2 linked regions of the Sus scrofa genome follow. The protein of the gene in region 1 purifies or fractionates together with the protein of each later gene. This does not show direct contact. Links are inferred from orthologs where the notes say so. Each region holds a gene or a part of one and is shown on either strand. Other genes may lie near its edges. The genes, in order: EIF5 and EIF3G.

Evidence for each region.
Region 2: the proteins of EIF5 (region 1) and EIF3G purify together in Homo sapiens (affinity purification with western blotting; 3 studies listed by BioGRID and IntAct, with this or other methods). This does not show direct contact. The link is inferred for Sus scrofa from reciprocal best matches to the Homo sapiens genes EIF5 and EIF3G.

Annotation. Positions count from the first base shown.
Region 1 is NW_018084979.1:1,906,602-1,910,414, reverse strand, and holds part of EIF5 (eukaryotic translation initiation factor 5), read right to left. Parts: intron 3,642-3,813; coding exon 3,483-3,641; intron 3,165-3,482; coding exon 3,003-3,164; intron 2,328-3,002; coding exon 2,163-2,327; intron 1,816-2,162; coding exon 1,681-1,815; intron 781-1,680; coding exon 691-780; 3' UTR 1-690.
Region 2 is NC_010444.4:68,967,771-68,972,087, forward strand, and holds the start of EIF3G (eukaryotic translation initiation factor 3 subunit G), read right to left. Parts: upstream 2,879-4,317; 5' UTR 2,786-2,878; coding exon 2,766-2,785; intron 2,626-2,765; coding exon 2,579-2,625; intron 2,036-2,578; coding exon 1,952-2,035; intron 1,844-1,951; coding exon 1,755-1,843; intron 1,595-1,754; coding exon 1,535-1,594; intron 542-1,534; coding exon 437-541; intron 338-436; coding exon 148-337; intron 1-147. UniProt on the Homo sapiens protein: RNA-binding component of the eukaryotic translation initiation factor 3 (eIF-3) complex, which is required for several steps in the initiation of protein synthesis.

The sequences.
Region 1 (3,813 bases):
AAAAAAAAACAACAACAACAAAAAAACCCAAAAAATAATTCAAGTTTCAAAACCTGCTCTTAAAATTATTTATAGGACACTCAGGTCATTTCGACTTCTTCGTAAAGTGTTTCATTGTCATCTGGTAACCAGTCCAGCTTGGCACGGGAGGAATGGACATTACCACACGCCAACATGAAGGACTAAAGATAAGACTTCAAAGTACTATTTCTTAATGGCTGAGTAAGATAATTATAAGTTTACGTTCACATTCTGCTGAAGATCTCTCTATAGTCTCAGCACCCAACAATACTAACAGGCTCCAATAATCTTACCAAGTTAAATGATGGTGCAACATTTTTAAGAGGAGCCATTTCAACTTAAGTCATTCGAGCCCCAAATCTGAAGAATGACCAAAATCAAATCTTTATTTTTATAACTGTATAAATGTGATCCAAATGTGTCCACCACTAATTTTTCAAAAAGAAACATGCTATAAATAAGCAAACTACACCTGCTCACTGATGTGTATGGACTCCCTAGATGTCTTGTTGGGTTTAATTACAGACCACTCACAGCAATACATTTTTAGTAGAAAGTGTAGCATGATGTTAAGCCATTTTAGCTTTTGCACATACATGTTGCACTTCTGCCTGATGATGCAAAAAGATTCTCAGCATTACACAGTTAAGCTGGGCTACACCCACCCCTTTAAATGGCATCAATATCAATGTCATCATCCTTGTTGTCAGACTTCACAGCTTCAACTTTCGGTACGCTGGCAGTCTTCGAATACACCACCTGATAAAACAAAAATTTTTTTTTACTTATAAACTATCCCAATAAATCTACCTACAAAAATAGATCAATGGTCAACAAAGGAAAACTACCTAGAGACATTATTCTGCAACAAATTTTTTTTTCCTTTTGTCTCTTTTAAGGCCGCATGTGTGGCATATGGAAGTTCCCAGGCTAGGGGTTGATTCAGTTATAGCTGCTGGCCTACAGCAGTCACCAGCACTGCAGGATCCCAGCCACACCTATGACCTACACCACAGCTCACAGCAACGCCAGCCAAATGCTTAAAGTGAGGCCAGGGATCGAACCCATGTCCTCCGGGATTCAATCAAGTTTGCTACTGCTGAACCACAACGGGAATGCCCAAGAAAATTTTTGTTATTCCAAACTAAGTTAACCTCTCGGCAGCCTAAGAGTTATCTTCGTTTTTGTAGACATTACCACTACACTCAACTTACACCGAAAGAAAACAACCTCCCTTTAGGGAACTCAGACAATATTTTATTTAATTGGAATCATATACAGTATCTGGGAGATTGTATATAGAATTGCCATATAAATTGTCTTTTTATGGCCACACCCCCTAGTTTGGGAACATAGGATGTCTCCAAACTAGGGGGTTAATCAGTTACAGCTGCTGGCCTACACCACAGCTCACAGCAATGACAATTCCTTAACCCACTGAGCAAGGCTAGGTATCAAACCCCCGTCCTCATGGATACCAGTTGGATTCGTTAACCACTTAGCCACGATGGGAACTCCCACTTTTTCTAATAACGTAATTCCTCTATAAACTAATTATTGCATTTAAAAGTTTTAATTTGGAATTGCCAAATATTGGCATTTTATAATTCCCAAACACCCATCACCAGCACCGTATTTAATAATTTCTTTGGTGTTCACCTCGATATTCTCATCTTCATCATCATCTTCACCACCAGAAGATTCTTCCTCTGCTTCCTTCAACCATTTTATAAATGGTTCCGCTTTGACACGAATCTCTTTGGCAAGTTCTTTTGAGACATATTTCTTAGAAGCCTAGAATAAGTTCAATTAAATTTGCAGCTTGAGAAATTTACAAATAACTTGAGTAATTCATGTAATTGCCCATACTCATCTCTCTCTGAGGACTGAGCCAAACCCTAACCTTTAACTCTCAACAGAATAAACACATTCAGCAAGTTAAGTATTAAAAGGCATGAAGTTTTCTTTGGTTACTACTAGAAAGCGGCCATGGTGACGGTGGGAACACTTCAGAGTACGCCAGTCAAGCAAAGAGACTGCATTTCAATAGAGACACTAAATATTACTACTTCAAAAAACATAAAGCCCCCCCAAGCCCCCAGTATTTCTCATCTTGAAGAGCTTGTTTATATATTCCCCACCTTTTCCGACCAGCTAATGATGACTTCTTCCTCCAAAAGGTCTGCGTCATACATCTCCTTCAAGATATGCGGAATTTTGGAGATGAGCTGAGCTTGATGCATTGCTACCACACACTCCAAACCATGAAGAAGGTACCGTTGAGCTTTTTTGTTGTTGTGGCAAAACTGCAAATAGATATCCTGGCATTAACAAGCTTTCTTAACAATTCCAATATCCAAGTGTATTAAATTGCCTTAGGAGAATTCCTTTTATAAAATTTTTATTAAATTAAAAATTTCAAAAAAATTTTTAGGACTGGAGTTCCCATCATGGCGCAGTGGCTGACGAATCCGACTAGGAACCATGAGGTTGCGGGTTGGATCCCTGGCCTCACTCAATGGGTTAAGCATCTGGCATTGCTATGAGCTGTGGTGTGGGCTGCAGACACAGCTAGGATCTGGTGTTGCTGTACCTCTGGCATAGTCTACAGCTCCGATTGGACCCCTGGCCTGGGAACCTCCGTATGCCGCAGGAATGGCCCTAGAAAAGGCAAAAAGACAAAAATAAAATTTTTAGGGCTGCACTTTTGGCTTACAAGTGCAGGGTCGAATCGGAGATGCAGCTGCCGGCCCACACCACAGCTTGTAGGCAATGCTAGATCTTTAATCCATTGGGCCACCAACCAGAACTCGGCCTTATGATTCTCAGATCTCTAATTTACAAATAGTTTTCCAGATACTCTGCTACAGCAGGTCAATTATTTCCATTTTCAGGATGACAGATGGAATAAAAAGATGAAAACAAGGTATCCAAGATCATAGCTGTAAATCTCACTTACGAATGTATAGTAAGTTGCTTACTCGTAAGAAATGGCGCCTGTATTTCTTAATTTGTTCTCTAATCTTCTCATTAAAAAGAACTTCAGTCAAAACAAGAGGGCCCATGGCCTTTACATCCAATCTTTCTGCTTCAGCTACAATTTCTTTGTCAGAAGAGTCAATAATACCCTCTTCTTTCTTTTTCTGTAAATAAAAGGAAGATTCAGTAGGTGGAGGCACATTTTACTCTAGAGATAGATAGTCCTTGCTCCAACTCTCCCCTAATTCAAGACAGTTCTAAGATGGGTAAATGATACACAGTTGCTAAGGACAGTGCCTGAAACTACCCTCAAAAATATTTAAATAAACAGAAAAAAATAGACTTGCGTTTGAGCATTTCAGAAAACAGTATTAAAAAAATTATTTGCCAAGTACACAGCTTTAAGCAAAATCTAACAAAAGTTTAAGACTGGGTAGAAACAGATATGCTGATCAACAGAATATTTAAAGCAAGTATTTTACCTTAACAAAATCAAACAAGATATTGACACGCTCTTCAACAGTTCTTTCCAAATCATCACTGAGGGTTAAAACTTTTGCATGGTCACTGATTTCATCCATTCTGCGCCTTTGAGCTTCCTCTGTTGTATCCTCCCCCCAGTCATCGTCCTCCTCTTCTTCCTGTTTATACGACGGACAAAAATGCTTGGCCAGAGTTCCCACGGTGGCTCAGGGGAAATGAACCTTACTAGCATCCATGAGGACACAGGTTAGATCCCTGGCCTCGCTCAGTGGGTTAAAGATCTGGCGTTGCCAGGAACTGTGGTGTAGGTCGAAGACATGGCTTGGATCT
Region 2 (4,317 bases), on another chromosome or scaffold:
AAGCATGGACTGTGGCTGCAGCCTTGCTGTTGTGTGGGAGATGACAACTGCCAACAGCGGTGGCCCTGTTCAGACAGCAGGTGACAACCTACAACTCTCCTGGAGGTGAACACAATCCCTGTCCCCCGAGTCCCCAGGCCCCAGCACCTCCAGGCAGCTTCTCCTTCTCGCCAGTAGACAGGCCCAGCTGCTCGGCCAGCTCCTTCTGCATGGGCCCCAGTGTGTCCTTGTAGGGGCAGCGGGTGGTCCAGTGGTCGCCCTTGCAGATTCGGCAGGACACGATCTTCTGGCCCTTGAGCTTGTTCATTGGGTCCTCCTCTTCCTGGCAGTTCAGATCCTGGCAGGGCAGGCAGAGGCAGCTCAGACGGGACTGCCGCACCCCCCGCCACTGCCGCCACCACCCTGGCCACTGGCCCCAGCCTCCTGGCCTACTTACCTCTTTGCTGGTGATGAATGTCATGGACACATCATCACTGACCGTGGTGGTGGCCACATTGGGCCCTGGTGGGTCGAACTCTGAGTTCCCAAACTTCTTCCAGTTCTGAGCTCAGGGTGGGATGAGAGACAAGTCAGAGCAAGGCCAAGCAGGACCCCTCTGCTGGCTCCCTAGACTTACAATGTCTGCTCCAGGGCCTTGAACCCCATTCTCCAGCCTCCCCCAAATGACCCTCAGAGCAGTGACAAAGACAGTTCCTGTTCCCTGAGCGCATGCCAGGCCCTAGCTTCACACCAGTTCCAGAGGCAAGGGCAGCTCTAGGCTCCATGCTCCAGATTAGAGGACTGAGGCTCAGGGACAATCCCCTCCACAGCCAACAACTCCTGCTGGGGTGGTGCAGGTAGCGGACCAGCTCCTACCAGGGAGTGATGCTCAAGGGTGCGTAGGGGTCACCCAGACTTCCAGGGGCCCAGAGCTAGCTAAGCAATCTGAACCCTAGCTGCCTCCTCCAGGAAAAGGGACCCCAATGGACCCCCACCTCCCTGGAATTCCAGGGGAACTGAATGGGAAAACGCTTCCTGCAAAGAGCTTGGGTCTAACGCAGAGAAAGCGCACAGGTAATTGTGCCAAATGTATTTACTGCCATGACTTTTTCTGCTACGACCATCTCAGGGGAGGACTTGGCTTTGTTTCTGCTGGCGGACAACCCCCCCTACTCCTGCACATGCTGGGCTTTTCAGGACCCCGACAGAGTGCAAACACCCTTAGGCCTCAGTTCCGCTCCAACAAAATTGGTACAGTTAAGGAGTTCCCATTATGGCTCAGCAGTATCCATGGCTTCGATTCCCAGCCTTGCGCAGTGGGTTAAGGACACGGCATCGCCCTGAGCTGTGGGTTAGGTCACAGGTGTGGCTACGATCACGAGTCGCTGTAGCTGTGGTGTAAGCTGGCAGCTGCAGCTCTGATTCAACCCGTAAACCGGGAACTTCCATATGCCCCGGGCATAGCCAAATAAATACAGGCACTGGGGAAAAGGATTCTTATTTTCTCTGAGTCAGCCCTGGGGGAGGCCCCAAGACAGGATGAGGAGGGTCTTACCTTCCTCCTTGCCACAGCCTTTGAGGCCTTCCGAGTCTCAATTCTGAAGGTGCGGACAATCTGTGGGTAGGAGAGGGGAGAAATTTGAGCTTCCTGCTCCTTAAGGTTCCGAGGGCCTGGGCCAGGGTATCTTCCTCATCAACCCACCCAGCACACACCACTTTCTCCTAGTCCAAGAGCCCCCAAGCAAAGGGCATCTACCTCCTCCCCCAACCTTCACCTTGAATTTCTTGCCGTCCTCATCTATCTTGTACTCGGTCACTGTCTTGATGTTTCCATTGATGACCTCCTTGGGAGGTGGCAGTGGAGCTGGGAGAGGGGGAGAGACAGAGGAACTGAGCCCTGGGTACTGGGGACCAGGCAGGAACTCTGCAGGGGAAGAGGCAACCCAGGGATGGCGGGGAGGTTGTCACTCACCTCCCGGTAGTAGTTCAGGCTCCGGGCTGGTATCCCCGGTGGCCAGAGGGATTCCCTTGAGGAGCTCGCTGGTGACACATTTGTCTGTGAGAGGGAGTGTGGGGAGCTGGGGTCAGCTGGGGGGTGGGGGAGCTCCCAAGCTGAAATGGAGGGACCTTTGGGATGATGCCCCTCCCGGGAGCTAAGAAAGGTGGGACCAAGGGTAGGGGACTAGCCAGGAAGTGTCCTGGGAGAGTCGTGCAGGGACATGGAGCTGACTGTAGTGACTTCCAGCAATGCCCGGCATAGAGGATCCCAGGCATGAAGGCAGGGGCGGGCCAAAGGCATCCCCGTGCTAGTACAAAGACAGGAGAGAGGCTGTGACAACTTCCTCCCCGGAGCAGGGGAGCAGCTAGGCTGGTACCAAGGACTTTGACGGTGGCATGGGAGGAAGAGGGACTGGCCGGTGAACAACTGTAATGGGAGATACAGGCTGGCCTGATGAGGATGGCGCGGGGCAGGGGCTGGCCGTGAAGGGAGATTCTGGGTCAGACAACGGCGCCAGGGTCGGGGTGGTGGGGTTGGAGCAGGCGGCAGTGACGGGCTGGGGGCTGGCTGCGGTGATCCTGGGCAACAGGGCAAACTCACCGTCCTCTCCCTCCTCCTCCACCTGGTCGGCCCAACTGGGCTTCGAACTGCGGGGACAAGTTTGCCGCGGGGGAAGGCTGGGTGAGACGAGGCCCGGATCCCACGGCCTCGGGGCACCCGAGCCCCATAATACGCCCTAGGACCCCCAATCTGCCTCCCAAGCCCCCCTCCACGACCTCATACTCACTCAAAGTCTCCGGTAGGCATAGCTAAAACCTTCCCCACGCAGCCCAAGCCTGGGCCAAAGACCGGAAGGTGGGGAGAACGAGACTTCCGGTTCTGCCGCCTAGAGCAGCCCGGCCGCTGCGCCCACAGTGCCGCCCTGTGGACAGAGGTAGAGGCGCTGGCTTATTAGAGGCTGGGCTCTGGTACTAGGTAGTTGAGTAGAGGCGCAGTTCTAACCATTTTTTTTTGGCCCCGCGGGTGGCGTATGGAAGTTTCCCCGGTCAGGTATCAAATCCCAGCCGCTGCTGTGACCAATGTCACAGCTGTAGCAAGTCCAGGTCCTTAACCAGCAACACCACAGCAAGAACTCATTTATCTTCTTTTTTTAATTAATGATTTTTATTTTTTCCATTATAGCTGGTTTATAGTGTTATGTCAATTTTCTACTGTACAACGAGGTGACCCAGTCACACATACATGTATACATTCTTTTTTCTCACATTATCATGCTCCATCATAAGTGACTAGATATAGTTCCCAGTGCTGTACAGCAGAATCTCATTGCTTATCCATTCCAAAGGCAATAGATTGCATCTATTAACTCCAAGTTCCCAGTACATTCCACTCCCTCCCCCTCCCCCTTGGTAACCCCAGTCTGTTCTCCATGTCCATGATTTTCTTTTCTGTGGAAACTTTCATTTGTGCCATATATTAGATTCCAGATACAAGGGATATTGTAGAGTATGTGTCTTTCTCTTTCTGACTTATTTCACTTGGTATGAGAGTCTCTAGTTCCATCCATGTTGCTGCAAATGGCATTATTTTGTTCTTTTTTATGGCCGAGTAGTATTCCATTGTGTATATATACCACATCTTCTTAATCCATATCTGTCGATGGACATCTAGGTTGTTTCCAAGTCTTGGCTATTGCAAATAGTGCTGCAATGAACATATGGGCGCATGTATCTTTTTCAAGGACAGTTTTCTCTGGATATGTGCCCAAGAGTTGGATTGCTGGGTCATATGGTAGTTCTATATATAGTTTTCTAATTCATTTACCTTTTAAAAAATTTAAAGTTATTAATAACAGGAGTTCCCATCATGGCTCAGTGGAAATGAATCTGACTAGAATCCATGAGGATGCAGGTTTGATCCCTGGCCTTGATCAGTGGGTTAAGGATGCAGCGTTGCTCTGAGCTGTGGTGTAGGTCACAGACGAGGCTCAGATCCTGTGTTACTGTGGCTGTGGCGTAGGCCAGCAGCTACAGCCATGATTCAGTCCCTAGCCTGGGAAACTCCATTTGCCACGGGTGTGGGTTAGGCCCTAAAATCTCCGTATGTTGCATGGTGGTGGATGCGACCCTAAAAAGACAAAAAAAAGTTATTAATAGCAATAAAGCTCAGTTATTGAATTCTGCGAGAACTGTGGAGAGAAAATTATTTCCATTTTACAGCTGAAGAAACCAAAGCTAGTCTTCCTTGTTTGGGAAGAGCTTTCCTACACTTGATCTTAGCCAAAAGGCCGAGAAGCGATGGAAGAGCTTTCCTGATTCAAAATGATCAAGCAGTCAAGT